4 linked regions of the Astyanax mexicanus genome follow. Each later gene encodes a partner of the first gene's protein in a complex. Links are inferred from orthologs where the notes say so. Each region holds a gene or a part of one and is shown on either strand. Other genes may lie near its edges.

Region 1 (6,958 bases):
ACAATATTGCAAGACTAATAGACTTTAGGAAGTGCTGATATAACATAAATATTATTTTACTGTTTTAAGCATGCTTTTACTCATAATGGATTCATATGTTTCTTTTGCCACATAATGGCTACACTGTGACCTTGTACCACAGCTAATGTTTAAATCACAGCATCAGACAGAGACTGCATGCATTTAGGATATAGGAGTTGTACAAGCAGGAAACCCTTGCTGTCAAAAACACAGATTATAGTGTTATAGTGCAGATATTTATAAAAACACATTATGCACTTGCACCACAGAATACAACACCACTGAATACAATATTGAAGGCTGCTCTGATAAAGATAAAGACAAGCCTGAAACAAAATAAAAGAGTCCTCCAAGGCCGAACCTTTTCCTCTGTCTATTCAAATGTGCTCCTCACTGACATTCTTTCACGCTGTGTGTATTCAGTGTCCTGTCTGTTCTACACTGGTAAAAAATAAAGGGTCCATTATGTGATTTTAATGTGCAAGTAAACCCTTTTTTTCTAGTCATGACATGTTGCATGGCTATGCATATTTTAGGGATGCACCAAATATCCGCTTAATTAGATTATTTGATCAAACACAACAAAAATACCAAATAATGTATATCAAACATCAGTGTGCTTTGTTTGTATGTCTTCTGGGGTATTAAAAATGTTCAGCTTTAAGTTTAAAAAGCAAGATATAATAAGGATTTGAAATTAAACCACAGTATAAGGTATTTTAATGTTGACATCATAGAACAGATTTAACATGGGATCAAGATGTCCACAAGTAGCCATCATGTATTGTTAATACGTCTGTTCGATCTAAAATACTCACCCAGGATTTTTCCTTCAGGACACTGACATTTACCATCCTCCCCCACAGCGCTTGGACACTGGATACACTCGTAACCATCCTGACTAACACCCTGCAAAATACAGCCGGGTTATTGTTTAACTGTCTAAATGCATATTATAAACATGGTAATATATTTAAAGACACAGAGCGGACAGATTAATACCGGTTTTGAGTCAGGGCACTTTTGACAGGTGACTGATCTTCCATTGCTGGTTAGCACCTTGAAACCTGTCTGACACACGCAGCTCAACCCTGTGTCAGAGCACAAACCTCAGGTTAATGATAATAAGCTTAGTTAAAGTTAGCAACAGCTCAGATCGCAAGACCCTACAGCAGATGGAGGACAGCCCTCCATCACTGACATCTACACCACAGGCTGCATCCACAAAGCCACCAGCATTGTAGAAGACCCCACCCATCCCTCACTCTTCGCTCTGATGCCGTCCGGCAGAAGACAATGGAATATCCATGCCTCCACTACCAGACTCTGCAACAGCTTCATCCACCAGGCAGTCAGACTCCTCAACACACAAAGACGGAATTGACCCCCCCACCCACCAAACAGCCACAAACTGACTATTGTATTGTTGTTCCATGTTGCTCCATGGTTCCGAAGGAATGTAATAAGGCATGATATGGTGTAATAACAAAAGATTTGGTTTGTTGCCTGAGGCAACACTATGCCATAAAGCAGTGGTTCTCAAACAGCTGTCTTTTCAGCTACAGCTGTATTTTAGCAAACTTATAGACTGTGTTATATCTGTTTTATTGCTCTTTTATATTTGCATTGTTCATTGTAATCTTCATGTTGTTTTTTAGGTGGACAATTTCAAGATCTGTCCAGGGACAACGGATGAAAAATAGCCTTTAGGCTAATTCTGGTGCATTTACAGTAATGTTAATGCACCAGTTGCTCTTCAGCGCTTAAAAAGCAGAAGTTCGCTCCTTCAGATGATTTTATCGCCGGATGCCAGATTGGACCTGGCCAAGGAGATGATGACAATATAAAATGCAGACTCTGTGCAACGTGTTCTGGAAGCACGTCCACATTACGATGCAGAATTTGCAGTTTCATATAAAACAGGGGTCAGATCAAAGCGGGGCCGAGAATTTCACTGGGGTATGCTGATCGCTTTCTGAGTGTAAATTCTCCTGGCACTTGTCAATAAACTTGTGAGCGTTGGAACATCACTTTTGATCTTGAGAGTCTTCATTCTCCATACAACGAACACGCAGGACTCAGGTGTGGTAAAGAGTTCCAGTCCAACAATATTATAATAATATAATTGTTATATATTATCTACTAGAGACAGATTATATCTGTCCAGTATAATTTATTTAACTTTAATCCTGGATATATGGAGATATATGGAGTGCGTTATTAGTATCATGACATTCTGGATCATTGACTTCTGTTACAAATCTGCTAAAAAGTTTTAGGGGTGTGCCATATCATATTATATGCAATAATAAAATGTAATTTAATTTTGTAGTAGTGTATGCTTTATTTTTTTATTCAGTGTTTTGTCATATAGCCAACAGTACGGTTATCGTCAAAATACCATGAAATATTGTTGTGGTATTATTTTAGGGCCATACCACCCACCCCTACTTGTAAGGTTTAGTTTGGCCATAGAGGGTTAACTTCACTAACGTTAATCTAGGTAACTAGGTTAAATAGTTAGCTATGCTAGTTAGCTAACTATCTAACAACGCCATGGTGGTGGTAGTGCTATACAGCCCCAACACAACAGTAAACCAGTGAACAGAAGCTGTATCAGACAGATATATACCCTGAATCTGTTTTATTATCTAAATTAAAAGCCCTGTTCCCTACCTAGCCACAGTTAGCCCGCAGTTAGCCCCGCTAGCTCCTGCTGCTGCTGCTGTTATTTAGTTAGCGTTAGCTGGGTTAGCTCTACCTGATTTCCCGCTGATTTGATTCGCTCCACACTTCGCGCAGGATAAACTGGATATATCGAAATACCCCCCGGGACCGCAGTCCGCCGGCTGAGAGAAAGATATAGAGAACTGCTCGCAGAAAAACGGGTTAAACTGCAATAATATGAGGAAAAAGCAGAGGAAAATAAGCGGTGATTGTAGCGTCCCCGTCGCCATGGTGCAGAACAAAAAGCCCCGCCCCTTCCGGCGATAAACACTCCTTTCCTCTCCCAGTTAGTTCAGTTATACAGCTCTGGAAAGAGATAAGAGAGCACTTAAAAATTATGAGTTTCTTTGATTTTACCAAATTAAAAACCTCTGGAATATAATTAAGAGAAATATGGATGATCACAAGCCATCAAACCAAGCTGAACTGCTTGAATTTTTGCACCAGGAGTAAAGGCATAAAGTTATCCAAAAGCAGTGTGTAAGACTGGTGGAGGAGAACATGCCAAGATGCATTAAAACAAGGGTTTTTACTCCAAATATTGATTTCTGAACTCTTAAAACTTTATGAACATGAACTTGTTTTTTTTTTTGCATTATTTGAGGTCTGAAAGCTCTGCATCTTTTTTTTTATTTCAGCCATTTCATTTTTTTTTTTTTTTTTTTTTTGCCAAAAAAGCTCTAAGCTCTAAATGACAATACTTTTATTTGGAATTTGTGATAAATGTTGTCCGTAGTTTAGAGAATAAAACAACAATGTTCATTTTACTCAAACATTTACCTATAAATAGCAAAATCAAAGAAACTGATTCAAAAAGTAAAGTGGTCTGTTATATTTTTTCCAGTGCTGTATGTTCCAGTGATGGAAAAATATAAGGATGCTATTTTCTGTCCTCAATCTCTGTTTAGTCCTTAATATATAAATGAAACCTAATGAACTGAAATATGCATTTTTTTTTTCATTCATTGTATTTTTTTTTAATATTTGATATTAACTGTATTTTTATACCACAAACCATCCCTAAATAGTAAAATAAACTATTGCGTTGCATTTATTTTTTATTTATTTTTTTGCTGTAACTTTTGGTAGGACAGTAACGCAATTTCAATTCACTGTATGTCCTGTACATATACTGTTCTGACAATAAAACTACTTGACTTGACTATGCAGGACTCAATAAACAGAATATACTCCCTCTTTTTCCCTCCAGGCCATAAGACTCTAAGTACAGCAAACTAAAAACTCTGTGACACTTTTTCATTCTGGCCACTATGGTCATTCCAATGGACATTGTTATGTCTTCTTGTCCTTCCAGGACTTCTCTTTGGGTGTTCTTGGACGGTTGTCTTTCTTGAAATAATACTCAGTGCACACTGCCTTCTTAATCGGAACAAAATATTTTGTTTCAATCAGAAGCAAAGTGTGGGAGAGAGCTTGTCAATTCTCGGTGTCCCAGTTCTCTCTCTCTCTCCCAGTCTTGTGTTTTGAACAGCTTATATACTCTTTCACAGTCACTTATATGGTACTCTGCATACCTAAAGAATTCCAACCACCCTATTTACAGCTTCACCATATATATAGAAATGACCTTTTGAGAAGCGGTACGTTGTTTACCTGAAACCACATGTGACATTCCAACATGTATAGAATTCTCAGAAATAGTTCAGCTGGACACATGAACCCATCTGGGCTAAAGGCTAGAAGGGACAAACATGCATAGTACAGAATACAATCAACATATCCCCATCTCTGTGAACACACCTTCTGATATGCCCTGTTATATTATTTTTTTATAGTTTTATCCCTTTTCTGTACTAATAGTTTATTTATTGCCCACTGTTTACATCTCTACAAATTTGCACTGCTAAATTTAATCTGGGTATAACACATCTGCGTTCTTGCACTGTTTGTATGGCTGACATCAGTTTTCACATCAACTGGTTTTCATTGTTGTTTTACTGTTTTTAACTGCACTACCTCCATCATTACACACAAACTAAATAAGACTCTACTTGTTGTATTATTATCTGTATTATTATAGCTTATCCTTCTTTTGTAGCTTCTGAGTACTGTATATCTGCTATTGGATGTGTACTGAATTTCGCTCTGGGATCAATAAAGCATCTATCTAAAATAGAAAATATATCAAATATACAGAATAAACTAAAAATGCATATACTAAATATACAGGGATATACAATAGTGAATATACAGAATAGAAAATATACTAAATATACAGTAATATACGAAAATAAATATACAAAATAAACTAAAAATGCATATACTAAATATACAGTGATATACAATAGTAAATATACCGAATAAAAAATATACTAAATATACAGTAATATACGAAAATAAATATACAGAATAAACTAAAAATGCATATACTAAATATAGAGTGATATACAATAGTAAATATACAGAATAGAAAATATACTAAATATACAGTAATACACGAAAATAAATATACAGAATAAAATAGAAAATATCCTAATTATGCAGAATAAACTTAAAAATATACTAAATATACAGTAATTTACAAAACGAAAAGCGCATAATAAAATAGAAAATAAACTACATTTTAAGAAATATGATATTATTATTATTAGTAGTAGTAGTATTAGTATTATTCACACAGTAATATTAACTCTGTTTCTTTAAAAGTTCGTAAAGTTTATTCACAGTTCCATTGGCTCTCCAGACACTGTTCGCCCCGCCCCCTGCAAAGCCTCCTCCCCGCCTATTGGCTGTGCACACTTCCTGCCGCTCCGCCCCTTTAAAAGTTGTGTGGAGAGAGCGCGCTGCCTCTGTCTGAAGCACGAGGCGTTAGGTTGAGGCTGAGCTCGCTGTGAGGCTTGTGAAGCTTGTGAAGTGAATAAACGCGGGTGTTTGGAGCGCGGTTTAAGAGTAGTGTCCGTTTTTTCAGGAGAACTGAGAGGTGAGTGGGGTGTGGAGGAGCTGGCAGTGAACCGTTTTTCCTGTTTCTGTGTTTCAGAGCTGCTGGTTCTTCTTCTGCTGCGGAACAAAGTAGGGGGGCAGGAGGCTCGTGGGGGCTGCGGTTCAGCTACACGGGGCTGTACCGCGCTGTGTGGCGGATTAAACTGCGCCCGATGCGGTTTCTGGGTTGAAATTCTCCTCAAGCTGTGTATTCTTTTGTGTTTTGTATCTCTCAGCAGTGTCACGTGTTCGACGAGGCAGTTTCCCGCCATCATGGTGATAGTGCGGCGTTTGCTGGGCCTCAGTGCCGATGCAGGCTCTGAGGACATTCGCGCCTTCTTCCACGGCCTACACATTCTTGAGGGTGGAGTTCACATCATTGGTGGCAAGAGAGGAGAGGCTTTTATTATTTTTACCACAGAGGAAGATGGACAGCTGGCCATGGAGCGCTCTGGGGAGATTCTCAAGGGATCATCGGTAACCCTTGAGGTTAGCAGCATAGCTGACTTGAAACATAAAATTGAGTTACGCTTAAAAAAGCAAAGAAGCTCAGGAGTGGAAAACAAGAAGTCTGATGCAGAGAGGAAGAAGGAAAAAATGGAGAAAGAGGCGGAGGAGAAGAAGAAAGCAGAGTATAAAAGAAGAAAGCTGGAGTTGGAAAAGAAGGCATTGGATCCAAGGCCAGCACCAGAACCGCAGCCATCAAAGTCACCAACAGACTTGGGCACAGCTCTACTACTGGGCCTAGTGGCTGCTATTCAAGGATTACAGTCAAACCATAACAACAACATCATTATCAACAACAGTAGCAGCAGCAGCAACAACAACCAAGAAAGCCAAGCCCAGTCTCTGCCAGTCAGTTCTCACCCATTACCTGCTTTACCTGAGCCATACCATTCTAAAAACCATACAAATCAAAGAACAGACCATCATACGTACAACAACAATAAAAAGAAAAACTACAACCACAGCTACAAACTGCAGGAAAGCATTCCACAGCCAGTGAGAAAAGTGCATATTGAAGAAGAAAAAGAAGCAACAGCAGCAGCACCTGAGAGAGGTAAGGCCAAGACCAACTGCAACGAGCCTGGATATCTTCGTCTTTATGGGCTTCCCAACAACGTGACCCTACAAGATGTCCGCACTTTCCTCCAAGGCCTCTCTGTGCTGGATTTCATACCAAATGTCTTCCTAGGCCGCGACCAGTGCTGCCTAATAAAGGTGGCTACTTTGAAACAAGCTGAAGAGGGCCTAAAGTACAGCCACATGA
Region 2 (7,377 bases), on another chromosome or scaffold:
GCTCTTTAGCTCTGAATTACTGGGCAGTGTAAATCTGGGACTTAAATTTAAGGAGTAGCTCCAGTAATTCAAACAAAGTTGGCAACAAAAGAAGCTTACAAGAAAAAAATACAAAAAAAAAAAAGTTTTATTTTATTACAAAAAGACACCATACAAACCACATTTATCTGTACAAAAAAGAAAGTGTACACTAAATAAATGCAACGACTTAAAGTCATAAAGTCAAAGGTCATTATATAACCAATATTTAACAGCAGTTAAGGAGCAGTGTGCAGAGTCGTGCAGATCCAAGTGCTGTACTCTGTATGTACTGTATGTAGTGATGATACATTGGCACACCGAAAATCCGCTAACACCCAAGGAACGCACAAAACTGTTCTTCATCAGCACCTGCAGGTCTAGTAAACAACAGCCCTGAAAGAAAAAACATAAAGATAATCATTTAAAAAAATTATGAGAATTAGCATTACACATGGTCTAAGTGCTGTAAAAATATTAGCCAAAAACAATTATTTAAGGGCTGAATTTGAAACAGTTCAGTATAATTAAGTCATTGCTAAAGCACAGTTCATGTCATACAAAATCATAGTTATACCTGGCAAAAGCTGAGATGGTTATAAGACCCAGAATCAGCTCCAGACCATAGAAGCACAGCAATACAGCGTTGAGGATAAACTCGAGGCGAAGAACAAAAGTCTGTAGTAGCAGATAATAGACACTCAGCACAGTACAAGGCACCAGGACACCAATGCTAATGGATAGCGTCAGAGTGCGCTCACACAGGTTTCCCTTCCAGCCTACAAAAACAGAAACATCAGAAGTCCTACAGTCATTAAAAATGCTACAGGTCTGAAATACACTCACAGACAAAAACAAAACAAGAAAAATTTGTGTGAATGTAATGTAAATATATGTAGTAAAATTAGATATTAGAGTGAAAGCATACTTTTAGTAGTAAAAACAGTACATAGAAATAGAAATAATGTGCACACTTAAGTGCATCAGAGGCAAGTCTATCAGTTAATGATCTCTCTGTGAGAAGTACACTACCCAAAAGTAGCCTCTGAGACCAATCTTATAGGGAAGCACTTTTCATCTTTAATAATTTAACTGCCTGCCTGAGACATACCAGCATGCTGAGTCTACAGCAGTTTTTTTTTATTAGTGTGTGTTAAAATATAGAAATAAAATTCTGCGTCGTACACTGACCGTAAAACAGTCTGAGGGTTTCAAGGCCAAGGTAGAGAAGAAGCAGCACAATGTCAAGTATGAGATTTGATTGCGGGTATGGGAGCAACACTCCTAAAAACAATTAAAAACAGTATGTTTGATGGTATTATTGTTAATATAAAATACACATATCAGAGCAGAATACTTCTTGTGATACTTTACCTTTATAAATAAACATTAAGATCTCAGCGATGAAGAACACAGCAAAATACCAGCTGTTTAAATAAAAGAGGACCTGCAGGGGTGTGGAGGACAACTGAGATCTTCTGTTAAGAAGACTAATAATAGACTGTTATATTACTCATTTCCCTGAGACAACACAGGAGTAAAGAAAGACAAGCAGGAAAGAGATAATATTGCACTAAAAGGATACAATGGGGTGCTTTCCTGGAAGAGAAAAAATAACAAAATGTAAAAATCTAGTGCATTACAAAAATTTAAATAAAAATCAGTTTTACAGAATACTGATAATAAATTAATCTCAAATTAAGCACCACAAACTATTAGCAGAGGATGGAACTATACTGCAGCATTGTCATTGGCCTGATTCTATATATTTGATGATAATAATAATACTTATACTAATAACTTAATTTTTTACTTTTATATACCTTTTTATACATAGAAACAGGCTCTAGGTACTACAAACAGTAATAAACAATAAACACAGCAAGACAAATACAACAGTATATAAACAAATCTAAATTGTAATGAAAAAGAAAATGAGAGAAACAAGATAATTATATGAATAAAATTTCATATAATATATATATATATATATATATATATATATATATATATATATAAAAATTTCGAAAACATACTACTTCATCTATTTTGCAAACAACAGGAATTTACCAAGACTGTTGATTTTTTTAACAAAATAAATAACGTAGCAACAAAACATAAAAATAATGTCTTAGAGCAAACAATTACAGTAGCTAGTAAGCTTAAATGCGCACAATATGGACTGTTTTAATCTTACATATCCCAATATTTTGTATGATATGATATAGGGTCAGCACATTCCTACTGTGCAATTACAGCTGCTGCCATATAACTTTTAGTGTATTTAGATATATTAATATTTCTATCCCTTTTAGATTATTTTGCCTAATATATGTGTAGCTATATTTTGTTTGTTTCGCTTTGTTTAGTGTAATGGACTGGAGTGTAGTAATTATCTGAGCTTCACTGAACGATAAGAAGAATCATTCGGATATGCTTCGCTGTTTCTGCTAGAACAGGAACTGTAAAACCGTCTAAAACTTTTCCACTCCAGGCCTGATTTATCTCAGAGAGCAGAATTATCAACATCATCCTCACACAAACTCGGGTTTGAGGTTTTAGTCCCAACAGAGAGAAAGAACAGCGTCTTCTCGGAAAATAACAGCAGAACAGCGGGAGAAACGCCGTTTATCTGACTGTAAAATGACCGGAACAATGAGTTTACTCGTCCTAAACCTGTTTATTATATATTAAATATATTTATCCGGTAATTTTAGCCTCTCTGCTTTAACTAGTTACTATCAGCTTGGATACGTCTTACCGTGGGTCGCCATTTTGGATACCATGGAGACGGCGTCATCCTAGGGCGGTAACTGGACAGTTGTCCAATCAGAGTTCGGGGACCTGCTAGCGTCTGACTTAAGTCCATCCAATCAGAAACAGCGTAAGAGCGAGAGCGCACACACGCACGAGGACACGCTTTCAGTTTAAAAGAAAAAATAAAATTGGGGTAAAACTGAGAAACATCTTTTAATGCAATTACCAGCATGTTTCGTAATGTGATTTCATTTATTGCGTCAGTGTTCAATTACCCAAATTCAAAAATCTTCTAAATATAACTAATACAATTATAAGATATCTATATTCAATCCAATTATCTTAAATATATTAATGTAGGAGGGTTATTTCAGCACGCTGGTGCATGCAAGCAGAAAGAACACTCAGTAAACCCTTATTTTTAAAATTTCCTCTTGCAAAGACATCAATCACTAATCAGTAAACCAGGCCAATTGTTTGCCTAAAAGTATTCTAATTTCTATTATTCATTAAAGTAATTAGACGCTGCACTCACCCAATAAAGAGCAAAGAACTGGAATGTGATACTATTATCTTTTAACATTTTACTATTAACATACATTTTACAAACCAGACACGAAACAGTTTAAGGGACAGACCATAATGAAAGTTTTATTGTATGTCTGTAGTGCTGAATCAGTCACAACCAGCAAATAGTTGAAGGAATACTTTTAATATGGCAAGACAGAAAGTAACAGCAGATGAATGTGTTCTAGGATCTAGTAAGATAAAAAAAAGGGGAAAAAAATATGGCAAATGAATCAGCTTACTGAAAATACATTATACCAGTATAATATACATTATATCAGTATACTGCACTAACAGCTCATGCACTATCAAATACTGTATAGTACCAAGGACATCATCTCCTATAGCTTCAGTTCTTCCCAGTGTTACTCTCTGGTCATATTTTCTCTTTGTGCTTTTGCCTTCTCCTTTTCCAAGTGTTTCTAAAAAAAAAAGAAAACAAAAAAAAAAAAGTCAGATTTTTTATTCTTGCATGCAACATATGATAAATTAAAGCTATTTTAGCTGTAATAAAGCACCTTAAGTTTGTTGTAGTGTGCTTGGCTGCTGCAGTGGACCTTCTTAGCGGTGTCTTCATTTGAGTAAAAAAGGAAGCAGACTCTGCAATAATATCCCATCTTCACAAACTCTGCACCTACAAGAACATCAAAGGGCCAAAAGTGATGTACCCTCATATATACATTTATTATTATACATATTTGTTTCCTAAATCTCTATTTAATATATTAAAATGTTCTTTAACGAAAACACTGTTGGCTTACCCACTGGGACATCAGGTTCATATGGCCCCAGACTGTCTAGGGTAGTTTTTTTCACAGACTGCACAGGAACAGTAAGACCTTCACTGTTTTCCTCATTCTTAGAAGGTACACCGGAAGGCACAACAGTAGCATCAGAATCGTCATTCTGCTTAACAGGGCACAACCAAATAAAAAGTTAAATCCAAAAAGGTTATTTACATGAAGAAGAGAAAGATACATACCTTGGTTGCATTTATCATAGAACACAGAATTCACACGTTAAATGACACCCCACAAAAACCCCGTCTTATGAACATGTTAAACATATGAACACTTGTGCTTTATTTGAACAGCACTGAGAGGTAAAGCCTGAATTACTAAAACTTGGTTGAAGTCAACGTATCACCTAATAGCTGATATTTCTGCTTTTGGCTGAAGTAACCTTTATTAAAAAGTTTCCCATTTAACAATCTCACCTGGGAGAAAGTTGATATACACTTGTTTGTGCAGACTTATTTCAGGTGTGTGATGTTCAGAGGGGGTGTATATTTATATATCTTATTTCTAATCAGAGCAAATAGAATGCTATAAATAGCAGGATTTATAGGCACCTTTCATAAAGTTAATTCAGGGTTGGTATCTTCAGATACTTGAAAATCTGGTGTCGTTGCAGTATTGGAAAAGGAAAAGTGGTACTGGTGCTTCGGTCCCTATTATTGGCGATACTTCTCTATAACACATCTCTTGGCAAGCTTTGTGTGCGCACGTTTATAGATAAATTAAGAGCAGTGTCCACAGATTTTTGAAAGTGTAATCTGAAAGAAAACTTTAAACGAAGCAAACTAAATTAACTAACCGATGTGCTCTCCATGTTCTGAGCTTCAGCTGCATCACTGCTATTTTCCTCTGTGTTCTTTATTTTCGTTTCAGCTTCACTCTCGCTAGTTTCAGCTTGATTTTCATTTTCCTGCTGCTTCTCCTCTGCTGGTACACCCTCCACATTATCTGTACAGGATGTTCCCTCTTTGACCTTCTTGGTTGGTGGCTCTTCTTCCTTACTGCTGTTAGTTTTGCTGACCTCGGCTGCTGTTTCTTCGTCAGAGCGATCTCTCTTGGATGGTCGTTTGTCTTCTGTTTCTGGGGCTGGAGGTCTGCCTCTGCCAGGGTAGAAAGTGTATTAGAACAAAACACCACCAGAATTCACCTACTCAGAGAGTCAAAACACCAATGTAAAATTGTGCATTAAACAGATCACAAAATAAAAAATAGCACTAACCCATGTTTGAGTTGTGTGTATTTCCTGCTAATATTGACAACTAGTGGTTTGCCTTGAAACGTTGGTGGATTTTCTTTGGCCGCCTCAACAAATCTCTCTGCATCCTCAATCCTCTCCATCTCAATTAAACACTAGAATCAAACACAAAGTCTAATATAACCCACTTCATAGATAACCCACTCTGTAAGTTATTATACATCACACACAAGCCAGTACCTCGCCACGTCCCCTTATTAAAACGTAGCGTTTGATTTTGCCAAACGGCTCTGCAATTTTCAGTAGGGATGCATCTGATGTTTTAAAGGCCGGAATGTGTCCAACATAAATTACTTTGCCAATCTAGAAGACAATAGGTTGTGTTAGACATTAAAACTGTCAAAATAAGGAGAAAAAAATGTGTTTAACAAAACCTTTTTACCTGGATGGTTGGGTAGACATGAGAATGATAGATTTTCACTGCTTTTCCACACACAGATGGTGTAACATTTCCATTGTAGAAACGAACCATTGCTCTGGCTTCCTGTTCACTAGCAAGCTCAAGAAAGGCCTTAAAAACAAAACAAAAGTGTATGTTAAAATAGTAGTTGCGACATTGTGCATTAATATGTTGGATATAGTTAGAAGATGATGGGTAAATCATGGCCACGCAGGGATGCACATGCTTCAGTTTTATTTCCTTGGCCATTACCTACTGCTGTACTACTGCATTCTGAAGTGTTTTTTTTTTTGCTCACCACAACTGCACCTAGGTAGCAGCCAGTCTGGACATTTGCTACAAAACATTCTCAGTAATAAAGACATAACTGACACTTTTTAAAATGTTTTTTTTCCCCCATTATTACACCATACTAGAAAACTGCACAATCCAACTATTCTGGCACAAAAAACTCCTAGGTTCAGATACATGTAGGAACCACTTCAAAAAGCTCCTGACCAGCATGTCGCACTTCTGACTGTCAAAATTTAAAATCAGATTAAAGAATGTGTGTTTAAGAAAACCTACCTCAGGCCTCACATTCAGGATCAGATGTCGCACCACTTTCCCAAAAGGCTTGGCCAAAGACAGAATCTCATCAAGATAATTATAGCCACGCCTAAATCCAACCACATTGACGACTTTTAGTTCCTGTAAATAAAGTTAGGAAAGGAAAAGTAAAGTAATACAAATTGTCACAGGCATAAACTTTAAAAATCTCAAAATCATACAAATTACAGTAAATCATTGTCCACTTACAAAACAGTGCAGTTGTTGAGCATACACTTACACAGGTATATCAGCCACTGAATTATACATTCAGTAAAGATTACCACTTACATATATTATCTAGGTGCACATTCATGGAAGAATGTACTTATTTATTTATTTTTCCAGAAAAGCAGCACTACTTTTTGTAATCACACATATATGTCAAGTAATATATTCAAGGAATTTCATGAAAAAAGCGAATACTTACACGGCTCTGCTTTGATCTCCCTAAAAAAAGAAGAAGAAAGAGTTGCATACATCTATTACCATGCCTTCTAATGTTACAATCAGAAACACAAGCACAATCACAGAATTTAGACAGTACCTGAGGAGCTTTTATCCCTGGATTTAGACTCGTGCATTTCAGCATCTTCCTCCTCTGCTAGCTCATCCAGAGTCACAAACTCATCCATATTATCAGGGAAGTCAGATTCTCCAAGTCCTTCCTAATAAAATACATATTGAGAGATCACAAGAACATTTAAAACAAATGATCAAACATTATTTATGATTTCTCTAAACTGATTATCTCTATTTTGTCCATTTCTCTAGCATACCCACAGGCTGACACTGATTCACTGTACAACTTGAATCTATTTTTAAGTTCTCTTACCAGTTCACTCAAATTCTCTGGAGCATTCTCATGATCAGCCTCAGCCTGCTCCACATCATCCTGGTCATCTGTGTCTTTGTGCTCCTCTGTGGGGTTTTGATCTGCTTCGGTTTCAGCTGGCTCCTCTGTCAGATCTTCTGCCTTTTCGGGCATCTCTGTG
Region 3 (8,014 bases), on another chromosome or scaffold:
AGGTACTATTATACTGATAGAAAGGGACGTAACATGATAAGTGGAAGAAGTTACATTAGAGAGTGAACCAATCACACAACCCTACGCATGGCACAGGGAGAGGATAGCTTACACAACTGCAGCGAAAGCTTATTAGAGTCCATTTTAAACTAAACTTCAGACCACATATTTCTAGAGTACTAGATATTGGTACCAATTGGGACCAATTTCAGGCTCAATAGCATGTCTCCTTTTGTTTATTTATATTTACAGTTGATATGCTAATAATCAATGATCTGTGGAGTTGAGATTTCTTTTTTTAATCATCATTTTTTCGTGTCTATGTGGGTTTGTGTGTTTCTATAATGAATATCTTTAACTATTAAATAAAATAAAACATTAGAAAAAAAGAATACCTGACTGAAATTTCACTCATACCTTGAAGGCCCTTAGTGGTGTAATGCAAGTCAATAGGATGACTCCAGTAAGCTGTGTCACCTATCTGGGGCATGTCCACTTGCGTCTGTCCTTCCTTCAGTCCAGAGAGGAGCCTCCATGCTCCTCCTGATGGGCAGATTGAGAGAGACACAATGAGAATGAAACTAATCCAGGTTTAGATTCATGAACAACAAAAGCAAACACCTTGCAACCAAAACTAAAAAGATTGGAGGGATGTGAGATAAGATTAGAGACGATTGGATACCTGTGTGAACACCCCACTTGCAGAACAAACTACTCTGAGGGAAACCGCTGGCCCCGACAATCTGTCCGATTATGTGCAGCTCTGCCATAAGACTCTGCAAAAGATTGGAAAATGAGTTACATCTGAAGATTTTTTTTATATAAAAAAGATGAATAAAGGAAAAGAAAGAAAGAAAGGCAAAAATAATAATAAAAAAATACATACAAAAAGACATTTTTCTTATTATAGTATAAAATAGGTCTGTAGTGTGAACCAGTTTACAGTAGACACTAAACAGTAGGTTGGAAATCAGTAATTAAAATGATAGTACTAATCAATCAGCTAACTAATATCAACATAATATACCCCACAATTCACAACAGCGAAAATGCAATAAAAATAAATAAATAAAATGAATAAATAAAATAAATAAATAAAACATAAACCTTACAAAACTGTTTCTGAATTTAATTATATATCTGATGTAGAATATCTTGACAGCAGATCCACAGAAGAAAGCAACAGTGTAATCTAATAAGTCAGCTACTCTTTCTGTACATATGGAAGTGATTACATATATATGAAGAGAGCCAATATATCCATTAAACCCACAACTGCTGTTCTAAAGAGAAGCATGCGATTACATCTCACTCAGATTTCAGAAAAGAGCATTTCTTTTCCATCCTATATTTTAGGTTTAGAGGAATTTAAATCTAAATCAGTGACCTCATGATTCAGTCATAGTGGTGTTTATTGCGATTCTCAACTGGTGGGTCAGGACACGGACACGTTCTGGGAGGGTTACAGACAGCTTTATAAAAAAGAAATACATTTAAAATATAAATTAAATGAAAAAATAATTCATGCTGATCTGATGTTGTACTGTCCTTTATATTGAGGAAAAAGAGAGAGTTTCTTACTTATGTACTCAGAATGCAGAGATATGCAAAGAAATTAAATATCTTATTTTGTGGGCTTATTTTTTGTTTTGTGCAGTTTTGATATTTAATTTTATTGCAGTAACTTTTAAAAATGTAGTTGTCATGTTCCTCCTCAGTTTCTTCTTTTTTAGAAAATGCTCTTAAACTCACTTTGCATGCATATGTATGTTTAAATGGGTATGTTAAAACATTAATTTGTTTGGTTTGTATTCTATAAAAGTGGGTCACAACTTAATGACCACGAGAAAATGTGGGTCCCGGGCTCAGACCAGTTGAGAACTCCTGAGCTAGATAACTCACTAAATGGTCATGTTAGTCAAAAATTGTTTAAACTACATAAATGTAATAAAAATACTAATTTAATAAAGAAATATGAATAAAGTCTGATTTACTATATGGAATATGGAGCTAGTTTTGTCAGGATAATTATATTATGGACACCATATGTTATTATATTATTTTGGCAGATCTCAACATTATCCCTTTCTGAAAAGAAATTAGGATTAGGATCCGATAAACTATATTTTTCTTTGAAATGAAAATCTCCATTTACAATGCTGTGTAGTCCAAGACTAGGCTTAATCCCTGTATGTCACTGGGAAAACTGCATTGCTTTTCGATAACATGAACGAGCAGATTTTAATATTTAATATTTTTTAAAGTATGCTTAATTAGTTTAGGATATTTTGGAGAAACAAAATAAAAGACCACTTAAAATGATGAGTTTCTTTGATTTTGCCAAATTGAAAACCTCTGGAATATAATCAAGAGGAAGATGGATGATCACAAACCATCAAACCAAGCTGAACACCAAGGAGTAAAGGCATAAAGTTATCCAAAAGCAGTGTGTAAGACTGGTGGAGGAGAACATGGGAAGATGCATGAGAAAACTGTGATTTAAAACTAGGTTTTTTGGTTATTCCACCAAATATTGATTTCTGAACTCTTAAAACTTTATAAATATGAATGTTTTCTTTGCAGTATTTAAGGTCTGAAAGCTCTGTATCTTTGTTGTTACAGGTGATTCTTAGCGTTAGCTCACTTTGGCTAGGCTAAGGCTAAGCTAAACAGGTAGCTTAGTCAGAAAACTAGCTTAACTAGCCTAGCCTAGCTTATAAAACACAGCCTATCTGTCTATAATAATATCTAAGCTATCTGTATTACCACATACAGTGAGGAGTATAGTACCAGCTCACCACAGGCGGATCATTCAGCAGAGATCTGCTGGAACACGGTGCTGTAGGTAAGTTTATGTGGATCAGAGCGCTAATCCTGAGCTCAGTGTTTACACTGCTCCACACAGCCCGTCTCCAGCCGCTCCTTCCCTTAGTAACGCGCAGACTCTCTAATACACAGAGCTCCCACTGTACTACTGACAATCTGCTGCGGGTCTTTACTCAGACACCAGAGGGCCTTTAAAATTAATACTTATCTATTTAGGGTAGTTTATATCTGCTAATCTACTTTTACTTGGATTGCTATACGGAGCCCCTAATGTGACTTCATGTTAAAATGAAAATCAATAGGTTTTTCCTATTTAAGACCAGCAGCTAGTTTGGGACCAAGTCTCAGCTAACCAACCAATCAGCACATATTAGCAGCAATGCTAGCGCCTTTCAATAGGAAAACACGTTTATTTTATAACAATAGAAAAAACACAGGTAAAGTTTATTTTCTTGTTTAGTATATTCTTCAATATACTTTCTAAAATCAAATTAATATCCCGGATAAGTAGTTTTGCACTCTGTTTAATTTGAGTTTTTAGCCGTTTAGCTCCATTCACCCCATTGATTGAGGATTCACTCGCGGGCTCCCCCTAGTGGTTAGACGTATTTACTGATAGAAGTATAATAGTGGGGCGTCTCGCTCTGTCTCGCTCTCTCTGTTTGAATCTGTGGCAGGAGAGATGCAGCTCTAAAGCTCTTTGCTGTCGCCTGCTGTTCAGGACCCATTGTTTTATTATTATTTTTTTGTATTAGAGCTATATTAATAACAAATACAATTTAAACATTCAAGGACAAAAAATAATGGTACCAGCAATCTGACATATTAATATAAGAAAGTTACAAGAAATTATCAGGCAGAAACAAACCAAAAGAAATAAAATATAAAGAATATAAAAAGAAAAATGAATAAAAAAAATAAATAAACTAAATTAATAAGAAATAAGCCAGAAAAAAAGTATGACCCGTGCTTTTTTTTAAAACAATACACAATACACAAAGTCTTCCTGGTTTATTTTTAATTATTTTTAATTATTTTTTTTTTATTATTCTTTCTATATATAAATAAAAAATAAGTAAAAAAGACTTTCTGTAATGTTCACTTCATGTAAAATCGCAAACAAATGTGTATATATGATGAGAATAATGTATTAAAACTTCATGTTTGTATATTTTGCTAAGCCTGCAATAAAAAATAAATTAAAAAAATTCCCATACTAAAAAAAAATATTTTAACTTTAATAAAATACTTTTTGTGAATAAGTTGTAATTAAATTGTTCAATCAGTATGTTAAATTTGTTTTTTCAATATCAAGAAAAAAACTATAAATACCGAAAAGAACAAATTATTGTTTTAACATATGTTTTGTCCTCCACATTGCTATTTAATTCGTTATATTACACAGTCATATAGATGAACGACTTATAATCATCAAATTCAAATAGACAAATAAAAAATAGAACTTTTCTTTAGTGTGTTTGTATGTTATGTTCTGTGTGTCCAGGGGCCGCTGGGGGCGCAGTTGAGCTGTGTGGTGTTGTGTTGTGTTAAGGGGAAACATGGCGCTGTTCAGGAGGAAGGTGCTCTCTGTGGGCTGGTAGGTTTTTATATTTTCTCTTTTTATTCAGTTCAGCTTTTTAAAATCAGTGAGATCACAGTGTGCTTTAAGAGTATACACATTACAGATAACAGATACGGCTCAGTTATTACTGGCTGGGCTCCGGGCTGTGCGCTGTAGGGCAGAATATTCCTTCTTCCTATTTAGATAACCTACATTAAAGCTTATTTATACAGATTTTATATACTAATCTTCTTCAGTAATATCTTTATATTTGTAGATAGGGATTTCCTGCACTGTTTGTTTTTCAAATGAGATATTTTATCTATAGTTGACATTATTATTTATTGTGAATATTTTTAATTGTTAATAATTAGTAATTAATTAGTAGTTTAATCATACCTCATTGTAACTGAGATGTATGTATCTAGAGTTGAAGGAACTATCTATAGTTGTATTGCTATTGTTTTGTATTACTGTGCTGTATTGTGTGACTCCTACTGGCTTCTGTACTCTACTATACTCTACTGTATTCTACTCTAATCTGCTGTCTATTGTACTCTACTAAGTACTCTACTCTATTGTAATCTTCTGTACTCTACTGTACTCTACTATACTCTACTGTACTCTAATCTGCTGTCTATTGTACTCTACTAAGTACTCTACTCTATTGTAATCTTCTATACTCTACTGTACTCTACTATATTCTACTGTACTCTACTCTAATCTGCTGTCTATTGTACTCTACTAAGTACTCTACTCTATTGTAATCTTCTGTACTATACTATACTCTACTGTACTCTACTCTAATCTGCTGTCTATTGTACTCTACTAAGTACTCTACTCTATTGTAATCTTCTGTACTCTACTATACTCTACTGTACTCTAATCTGCTGTCTATTGTACTCTACTCTATTGTAATCTTCTGTACTCTACTATACTCTACTGTACTCTAATCTGCTGTCTATTGTACTCTACTAGGTACTCTACTCTATTGTAATCTTCTGTACTCTACTGTACTCTACTATACTCTACTGTACTCTAATCTGCTGTCTATTGTACTCTACTAGGTACTCTACTCTATTGTAATCTTCTGTACTCTACTGTACTCTACTATACTCTACTGTACTCTAATCTGCTGTCTATTGTACTCTACTAGGTACTCTACTCTATTGTAATCTTCTGTACTCTACTGTACTCTACTATACTCTACTGTACTCTAATCTGCTGTCTATTGTACTCTACTAGGTACTCTACTCTATTGTAATCTTCTGTACTCTACTGTACTCTACTATATTCTACTGTACTCTACTCTAATCTGCTGTCTATTGTACTCTATTAGGTTACAAATCTGATGAAATTCTTGTGTTTTTTGTATTTTTATCTCAGTTAGAGGTGTGCATATCATATCATATCGTATGCAATAATACTATTTTTCATTTTGTTGCAGAGATGTATTCTTTAAATATATATATTTTTAATTGAATGTTTTGTCATATCTCCAAGAGTATCGTTATCGCGAAAATACCATGAAATATTGTGATATTATTTTAGGGCCATATTGCCCACCTTTACTGCTGGCTACTGAACTGTACTATATTTTACTGTACTGTACTGTACTCTGCTGGCTACTGTACTTTACTAGGTACTGTACTGGGTACGCAAATCTACTGTACTCTTCTGTACTCTACTGGGTACTCAACTGTACTGTACTGGCTGCTCTACGGTACTCTAATTTACTGCACTGTACTCTACTACTGGCTGCTCTACTCTACTGATCACTCTACTCTAATATACTGTGCTCTACTCCATTCTACTCTGCTCTACTGGCCTCTCTGCTGTACTGTACTATACCCGACTGGCTGCTCTACTGTACTCTACTGGACTGTATTTTACTTTAAAAGCTCCTCTACTCTACTCTACTGTAGTCTACTCTAATGCTAATGCATTGAAACAATGTTCATTTCACATGTCAGAATGTATTTATTTGTGCACATCTATTTTATGTTGATTTAAAATGTATTCCACGTTATAGTTGTACATGTATTGTTTATATTAAACTTTACTCACTTTAAATATGTATATCTTACTCGTATTCTATTACTATTGCCTGTCCTGTGTTGATTCTGAGTGTAATAGAGCCCCAACTATTTAAAATAATAAAATAATTTAAAATAATTTTGATTCAAAGTCAGTATTTCAACACAACCCAATGCCTATTAGGCATCGTTAAATAAAGGTTGTTTTTCCATCATCAGCATTAAATGAGGGTACACTCGTGTCTTTATGCTTATCTAAGCAGTGTTTGAACTGAAAGTAAAGACTGTTTTCTCTTTTGTTTTCAGTGTCGCAGCGAGCCTGCTGAGCACCACCAGCAGAGCCTGCCTCAGACTCGGCAGACTGCCGACTTTAATTAGAAAGAACTGCATTACTTTAGGCGTCTCTGGAGGCCTGTGTGCTGTTCCCTTTTTGCAGGTTTGATGAAGCCTCATGATTGAAGTTTTGATAATACTCTTTGAATTACAAGAAGTGGTAGATAATGATATTTTAGTTGTTATAAACTAAAATTACCATTATAACAAAAAAACTAATTTTTTTTTAGTTTTAAAAGCTAAAGGATTGAAAGTAAAACACACGTCTTCATCTTTCAGTAGGCTTTTACTGGCTGCACTTGGGTGGTTAATATATCAATTATAAATATATATTTAATGCCATGTATCTAAAACAGGGGTGTCCAATTTTTTTTGTTGGGGTCCAGAAGGAGAAATATATTTGAAGTCAGGGGCCACAGACTCTATAATAAAACAAATAATGAAATATACCACTTTAAATAATACTTTTTTCCTGATTACTTTCATTTACACACCATTTTACTTGACTTACTATCTTTATCTTTGACAGTGTTGTGTAAACTAAGATTTTTCAAATTGATGTTTAATTTCATAATGTCTCTTAATATTAACTTTTAGACTCTTTGACCCGTTTTTCTGCGCTAGAAATGCGCACTCTCTCCGCTTTTAGACTCTTTGCCCTGTTTTTCTGCGCTAGAAATGCGCACTCTCTCCGCTTTTAGACTCTTTGGCCCGTTTTTCTGTGCTAGAAATGCGCACTCTCTCCGCTTTTAGACTCCTTGCCCCGTTTTTCTGCGCTAGAAATGCGCAACCTCTCCGCTTTTAGACTCTTTGGTCCGTTTTTCTGCGCTAGAACTGCGCACTCTCTTCGCTTTTAGACTCTTTGGCCCGTTTTTCTGTGCTAGAAATGCGCACCCTCTCCGCTTTTAGACTCTTTGGTCAGTTTCTGACACCTAGCGTTCAAACTTAGAATCTCACATTATAAAAAAATTCCTCGCGGGCCGCTCCAAAAAAGGAAACAGGCCACAAATGGCCAGCGGGCCGTAGTTTGGACACCCCTAATCTAAAATATATGGAAAGTGTAAATAATATGATTTTTTTTCCACCTGTAATTGTGATCAGAAATGTATTGCTTTGAATAAGACAGTCTAATATTTTGGCGTCTGTATTGTGTGCATGTACAGGATAACATGACCCATGAAACCCTGATCCGTAGAGCATCGTCTCTGGTGACCAACAGTGCCAACACCTACCTTTCCCAAACTACACTGGCCTTACT
Region 4 (7,166 bases), on another chromosome or scaffold:
GCTCTATTTGCCATATTATGGCAAGAACTTCTTAACTAAGTAAAGAAAAATAAATAAATAAATAAATAATGAACGTCAGCCAATCCAAAACATTTCAGTTCGAACATTGAATAATCCTCAAGTGCAGTCACCCAAAGACCATCAAAAACGTTATAATGGTGAAACTGGCACTCATCAGGACCTCTGTTGTACAGGAAAAGTTAATCAGAGTTACCAGCTCTTTTTTTTTTTATCAGTTGCAAAATAACTTATAAAATTATTAAATTATTAATCATAATTAAAATTAATTGGCATTGTTATATTTTGTTGCTACAAGAATTAATCAAAAGCCGCTAAAGTTTTTTTTTTTTTTTGCCTTGGACTTCTATGTCTTCTACTGCTAAATGTACATCATTATTTGTAAGTCATTTCGGATGAAAGCATCCACTAAATGCAATGTAATGTAACATATTGTATAATATAGAATCATTTTTAATACGGATCTTGAATTCATATGACTTATTAGCAAATCAATCAAATAAAGATATATTTAAAACTATTAAACCAAGCAATAACTGACATGTTTTGTATATAGTACAACTATCTATTCTGTAACTGGTTATCCATACACCGTGTCTCTGGTTGGTTGAGATGTACTTACAGTTAGCGGTCTGTATACAGAAAACATCAGGGTTGATCTGGCGCTGGACGGACGTCTGCACTGCTGAAAACCCCTCTGCTGTGGTGCGGAGGGAGTACAGAGCTGCATCCTGAGTGCACAGTCTGGGGTCTCCACTGACCAAACACACATCAAAGTTCATATAAATATAATCAGTTATTCAGTACCAGTCAAAAGTGTGGACACATCTTCTCATTCTATGTTTTTATTTATATATTTATTTTTTCAAGTGATCCAGACTATGAAGGAACACATAAGGAATCATGTAGTAACTTAAAAGTGTTAAACAAACCAAAATACTCTGTGAAGAAGCATTTAGATTCTCTTATCTGGGGAGCTGTTTGTTAACTTGTGGTTTCTGAGGCTGGTAACTCTGATGAACTTATCCTGTACAACAGAGGAAACTCTTACTCTTCCTTTTCTGGGGCGGCCCTGATGAAAGTCAATTTAATCATCATAACACTTGACTGTCTTTGCAGTAACTGCCCTTGGAATACTTTTTTTCCTTAAGATCAGTTGAATGACCTTTTTCATTGGTTTCTTTACTTAGTTTAGTTCTTGCTTCTCATAGTAGGGATTAGAACATTACTCACTGTATACCTGTAACTCTACCTCTTCACAACTTTACATCTGATGCTCTCAAACACATTAAGAGGCAAGGAATTCAAGTAATTAACTCTTGACTCTTAACTCAGCACAGCTGTTAACTGAAAGCCTGAATTCTAGGTGACTCTACCTCATAAAGCTGACTGAGAAAATCCAGCAGAGATGTGCAAAATTGCCATCTAAGCAAGAGGTGCTACTTTGAAGAATGTAAAATATAAAACATATTCTGGATTGTTTAACACTTTTTGGGTTACTAAATAATTCCATTAAGTTTTACTCATAGTTTGGACAACTTAAGTATTAATCTACAAAGCAGAAAATTAACGTACGTGACTTTCTGGACGGAGCAGCGGGTGAACAGGGGCCGTTCCTGAGAGCAGTCCGGGTCACAGCAGCAGTTCACCTCACACTGATCACTCTGAACATCACACGGGCACAGATCTGATACTGCACCAAACCAACAACAGCAGATTAAGATTAAAAAGAAAAGCTTCATTGTTAAATAAACCTAAATTATATATTATACATTTCTTTCAAATCCAATTCAAGATGGGCTATTCTTCTACAACTATTTATGTACTTATCTTAAACACTGAATTGTGCGAAGAAGAAGGAAAACTGGTGGATTTTCCCTTTAAGACAGATTCTGTTTAAGTCATTATGTAGTACCCTGATTTACACCTGTTACTGTTCTTCAGTACTGTTCACCAGTTCACACATTTAGGTGATTTACAGCTCTGACACCCTCACTTTAACACTTTATCAGACCAGTTCCTTTAATGTCTGAGGTTTTCCTGCTCGAACAGGTGCTAACTGTTGTTAACACCCCAGCTCTAAACTCTTTTACACTCTTTGGGAAACACACACACGTTTGGGGATGGAGTTGTAGATCAGGGACTGAAACTTGAACAATGTCTTGATTACGGATTTGGATCCGTAAATTAGCTGCTATAATCACTTTGTTTAAAAAGAAGTCGGCTTATGTTTACAACATTAACGTTGTTTAGACGTTAGAACGGAGTTGGCTACGGCTGCGTATGTAGATCTCAAGGTTTAATACAGTTAGTTAGCTAGATAAACCAGCTGAAAATGCTGGTTAATATAACGTTTTTTGAACGTTACAGTCATATTTTAGGAATGCTATTTTTCAACGTTTCAACATTTATAAACGTTGCTAAATGTTCTAACACGTTGTGGTGCAAACCATTTACTTATTATGTTACACGTTATTAGAACGTTCCTGGAATATTACATCTGAAACGTTACAGGCTAACTTAACTTTCCTGAAACCTTTTCAAAACGTTGCTAAACTTTCTCATAACGTTCTCTGTTAGCTAAAAAGCTAGTTTTCTTCTATTTATTCCCCCATACGTGTGTACCTCGGGTAACGGGTGCGGGTAGGGATCCAGACAGCGGTAAGGGCAGGGCTGCGGTGCCGGCCCGGGCTAGGTCCGGCTCGGCTGTGGGTTCTGGAATCTCCGTTTCGGGAAAGGCGGTGCTGGGCTCGACTGGAGACGCTGCGGGCATCGATACCGGAGCTAAAGTGTAGTTTTCTTCCCCGGTCTCCTCCGTTACATTATCAGACTCATCCCAGCCGAACCTGGTCCGGTTCTGGTCTAAAACTGAGCTGTTAAATCCGCCAGATTTCGCCCAGAACCCGCAAAACAAACCGGCCAAAATTAATACCCGGAGCAGCGCAGCCATGCTTAACAACCGACACAGCGCAGCCCGTCTCCAGGAAGCTGAAATAAATGAATAATAGGACTTTTATTTTGTAATAAAGCCAATTTTTATGTTTTATTCCATATAATGGACAAAAATGAAAAACTATTTTCATTTGGCTAAATGCTACACATATTATTATTACAAAAAAATCAAACCTTAAAACCCAGGAAAAAAGGAGATCTATTACAGAAAAACGTATACATATACACTTACCTATACGTTACCTATGCGTTAACATGTAAAATCTTATTTATATATTATTAAATATAGAGTTACAATAAGAGACTTTTGTTTTGTATAAAAGTACCCCATCCCCTTTCTCAATACTCCTAAACCTGGACACAAATAATGGTTATAATTAAATAATAATTAATTTTAAAGTAATTGTAAAAGAGCACTAGATATTCACAATTTTAACATTCTGTGTATTTGCTTTTTATCAGCAAATAAAAAATCTAATAATTAATAGTAAACATCAAACATTTTTGATGGCTTACAGTTAACAGCTGTGCCTTGTAAATGTTAATTACTTGAACTTCTTGCTCTCTTAATGTGTTTAAGAGCATCAGTTGTAAAGAGGTAGAGTTGGTACACAGTGAATAGCCCTTTTTGACTATTTCTTTGCATAATATGGAGTTCGGTCAATCCGAAAAATTTCGAGAAATTCTGAAAAAGTTTTATCCTCCAGTGCAGTCGAAAATCGACCATCAAAAACGTTAGAAGGATGAAACTGGCTCTCATCAGGACGGCCCTAGGAAACAAAGAGCAAGACTCTAATACATCTGTATGACCAGTATTCATTTATAAATTAAAGTAATAAAGTAATATATTACAAACTTCAAAGAAAAATTATTTAAAATAATATTACTATTGTTTTATTGTTTCTTTGTTTTTGTTTTTTTTTATTGACACGCCCCCAAACGCTCTGATGGCCTGGAGCCACGTGACGCGAGTACCCGTATGTCCCGTGTACTTTTGCTCCTGAACGCGGCGGTGTTTTGTTTGCGCGAGAGTGCGGCGCGTGAAGATGTCGGTTGTGGGGGAGCACCGCGAGACCGGCTAGTGTTTAAAACCCAACGGAGAACCGGACAGAACCAGTACAGAAGCGGGACAGCACCGTAGAGGACGGGCGCGGGTGGACTCCACTTCTCTGAGCCGGAGTCGGTGTAACACGATACGGGGACAGACCTCCAGGCTCCCAGGCGGCTGCTGTGAGTCTCTCAGCCGGGCTGAGTGAGGGTCAGCCAGGCAGCAGACTCCTCCACAGACTGCCTCTCCACCTTGTGCTCCGGAGCTCTATGCCGGCGGCTGGCTGCCGGTGGACGCGGGCTCTCGGTTAGCGGCGCGTCGCGGAGACAGCGGGGATGTTGTCCGTGCTTTCCTACGGGAGGATCGTGGCCAGGGCCGTGCTGGGTGGACTGTCTCAGACCGACGGCCGCGACTATAGCCTGATCACGGCCAGTTGCGGCTTCGGCAAGGACTTTAGGAAGGGCATCCTGAAGAAAGGGATGTGCTACGGGGACGACGCGTGCTTCATCGCCCGCCACCGGTCCGCGGACGTGCTGGGTGGGTGGACTGCGTTCATTGCTTACTTAACTACTTAACTTGCCAGAGGTTCCTATACACCTACAGCTTTTATTAGTTTGTTACCTGTCAATCAATTAACTCACCTGTGAGCCTAATTCATTAATTAACTCAAATGTCAATCAATTAGCTACGCTGTTTATTGGCAGGTTCAGCAGTAGCTTTGTCAGGTAGTTCTCTCATCGTCTGCTGATTAGAACCATATATGTAGTCTAGCTACCTTAATTTCTTCTACTGTGTGTTAATTAGACGAGCTTAAATAAAATAAAATAAAAAATTTAATCATATTAACTAGCTTAATTGTCACGTGACATCAACAATACCCAACAATAGTATAGTATAGATGAGTGGAAACAAACCAAACAAACAAAAAATTGGGTGCGTAGTACTAGCACATATATATAAATATATATACACACAACACAAAAACATAATGAGTAAATGCACACACTGTATGTTAGAGCTTTCTAAGAGAATGTTGTTGGTTAACAGCTACACATAGTTTGTTCTGTCTAAAAACAACAGTAACTGTTTGAAGTAGGTTAGCTAACTCTGGCCTTACTTCTCTCTCATTTACTGATTAAAATGAGTCATATTTAGTTGTAAACAGCTGGTATTTAAGCTACATTAAGCATATTTGCATAGTATTATAGTGCATTCAGATACAGCCATTATAGCTAAGGTCATTCACAGAATGATGATTGACCTTCAGGGTTAAAGTGCCACCAGCATTGCATTGCACCACAAACAGACACACACACTCTAGCACACACACATACACACACAGTGTGTTTTCAGTGTGTTTGTGTATGTGCAGGAATCACCCTCACCTGAAATAACCTTACTTTTTTTTTGTTTTAACCATTTAATACACCTTTTAAGTTTATTCACAAAAGATGTAGCCAGATAACTAGGTTTCTAGTGATCTTGGTAAAACTATCCCCAAGCAGATGGCTGAGGGTGCAGGGTGCAGTGTATAGGGTGTAGTGAGCAGCCTGTGTAGGAGGTGACCTTTCACCTAGATACCTAGAGATCCAGCACGAGCCCCTGCGGCCACAATAACGTGAACACGCTTGATAATTTTAAGATTTAGGTAGTTTAATAAAGTGAAACACTCAGCTAAACAGCGTATTTATTAGTTTTAATGATCTAAGCTGCTATACCAGCATCATATCTACTCACTTCATTTGTAAACACAGCTAATAACCCGGATTGCACAGGAGTATCCACTATTAAAACCGGATTAAAAACTAAATGCATGCTCAGATATCGTTATCAATCTTCGAGTCGAACTTTGTAGAAGCGCGTGGTTGCTTTTTATCAAGAGCTTTGCAGTGTTTTGTATCGTAAAGGTCAGAATGGTTGAGCATGGAGGCAGCCATATTACAGCTCAACCACGTTGCAGGCTCGCACATGCGCACATCCACCAGCTGCTGCTCGTGAATTAAGAAATGAGCCTTTAAAAGAGCTTATTTCCATGTTCAGACCTTTTTATAAAGATTATAGACACCTTTTATCTTATTCAGACCCATCATATCCCACTTATATAGTTTAAAATTATGTATTATGGTGAATTAATACAAAACAAGGGAAAGCATAAACCATCTTTAAACATAATTATATGTACAGACGTTTTATTAAGATTGTAGACGCATTATCCATTATACAGCCATATCCTGTCCAAACTTAGATTGTTTAAAGGGATGTTTTAATGTGAATTAGTACAAAACAAAGATCAAAATTAAGCATAAATAACCCCCCTTTATTATATTAATAAACAACCACATGTTTATTAAACCAAGCACATATGCATGCATACAATTAGTGAAATAAAGGGTCGCTCAATACATTCTTTTATCGTATCAACAATATGTTTATCGAGTCATCACTGATTAAAGAGCACTGATTGTACTGTACATTTTATAAGAAAGAATGTAAAAATCTGTTTAATTGAACAAAGTGCAGCAATTGTTTTAACATAAATCATTGGATTATGCATGACAAAGTATCTGAATAGGAGTTATTCTGCCACTTCTGGTAAAAATAATGTGTATTATAGTATTATCTTTAATGTGCAAATATTTTCCATATACGTATTATTATTTTACAAGCACATATGTACAAATACTTAGCAGAATAAGAACTAAAATGGTGACTTTTATCTTGGCGCTTCTTTAAATGCAGTCAGGAACAAAAGGGGCTTTTGTGTAGCTTCCGGCTCAAGTTTCCTTTGTTATGGAGCCATGTGGGGGAACGAAAAAGCCGGCTGTTTAAGGCCCCCCACCCCCCAGTTCAGCTTCCCCAGTCTATTTTGTCTGTCTGTCTGATTATCTGATTATTAAGATACAGGTTTTGTATCAAACACATTGTACCATGACTTAAAGTAATTAAATATAATTTATTTAATTTGCCTTATGTTACAATGCTGGGGTAACAGTGAACACACTTTTTTTTAGTTCTGGGGCTAAGAATAATGCACGTTTGATTGTGCCTGGAGGATGCCAAAGGGAGCTCTGCCAACAAAGCAATTATTAAAGCTAAGGACTGAAACAGGAGCTGACTTAAAATAGCCAGTACCTAATCCATTAAAGGA

Evidence for each region.
Region 2: tmem67 (region 1) and tmem216 share a complex: the UniProt entries of both Homo sapiens proteins name them as parts of the tectonic-like complex. The link is inferred for Astyanax mexicanus from reciprocal best matches to the Homo sapiens genes TMEM67 and TMEM216.
Region 3: tmem67 (region 1) and b9d2 share a complex: the UniProt entries of both Homo sapiens proteins name them as parts of the tectonic-like complex. The link is inferred for Astyanax mexicanus from reciprocal best matches to the Homo sapiens genes TMEM67 and B9D2.
Region 4: tmem67 (region 1) and tctn1 share a complex: the UniProt entries of both Homo sapiens proteins name them as parts of the tectonic-like complex. The link is inferred for Astyanax mexicanus from reciprocal best matches to the Homo sapiens genes TMEM67 and TCTN1.

What each region holds. Positions count from the first base shown.
Region 1 is NC_064408.1:110,661,422-110,668,379, reverse strand, and holds the start of tmem67 (meckelin), read right to left. Parts: upstream 3,003-6,958; 5' UTR 2,979-3,002; coding exon 2,783-2,978; intron 1,113-2,782; coding exon 1,024-1,112; intron 931-1,023; coding exon 840-930; intron 1-839. Other genes in the region: rbm12ba (RNA binding motif protein 12Ba), read left to right, coding at 5,962-6,958. UniProt on the Homo sapiens protein: Required for ciliary structure and function. Part of the tectonic-like complex which is required for tissue-specific ciliogenesis and may regulate ciliary membrane composition.
Region 2 is NC_064417.1:38,790,591-38,797,967, reverse strand, and holds tmem216 (transmembrane protein 216), read right to left. Parts: upstream 3,024-7,377; 5' UTR 2,805-3,023; coding exon 2,780-2,804; intron 1,618-2,779; coding exon 1,604-1,617; intron 1,487-1,603; coding exon 1,393-1,486; intron 1,303-1,392; coding exon 1,210-1,302; intron 798-1,209; coding exon 596-797; intron 415-595; coding exon 399-414; 3' UTR 115-398; downstream 1-114. Other genes in the region: uncharacterized protein matr3l1.1, read right to left, coding at 3,708-3,764, 3,861-3,976, 4,104-4,251, 4,939-5,239, 5,359-5,489, 5,575-5,697, 5,777-5,905, 6,362-6,484 and 3 more. UniProt on the Homo sapiens protein: Part of the tectonic-like complex which is required for tissue-specific ciliogenesis and may regulate ciliary membrane composition.
Region 3 is NC_064424.1:5,646,558-5,654,571, reverse strand, and holds the start of b9d2 (B9 domain-containing protein 2), read right to left. Parts: upstream 3,023-8,014; 5' UTR 2,791-3,022; intron 777-2,790; 5' UTR 771-776; coding exon 683-770; intron 544-682; coding exon 418-543; intron 1-417. Other genes in the region: diablob (diablo, IAP-binding mitochondrial protein b), read left to right, coding at 4,386-4,423, 6,730-6,859, 7,920-8,014. UniProt on the Homo sapiens protein: Component of the tectonic-like complex, a complex localized at the transition zone of primary cilia and acting as a barrier that prevents diffusion of transmembrane proteins between the cilia and plasma membranes.
Region 4 is NC_064427.1:20,757,798-20,764,963, reverse strand, and holds the start of tctn1 (tectonic-1), read right to left. Parts: upstream 3,015-7,166; 5' UTR 2,969-3,014; coding exon 2,644-2,968; intron 1,712-2,643; coding exon 1,594-1,711; intron 775-1,593; coding exon 641-774; intron 1-640. Other genes in the region: pptc7b (protein phosphatase PTC7 homolog), read left to right, coding at 4,354-4,555. UniProt on the Homo sapiens protein: Component of the tectonic-like complex, a complex localized at the transition zone of primary cilia and acting as a barrier that prevents diffusion of transmembrane proteins between the cilia and plasma membranes.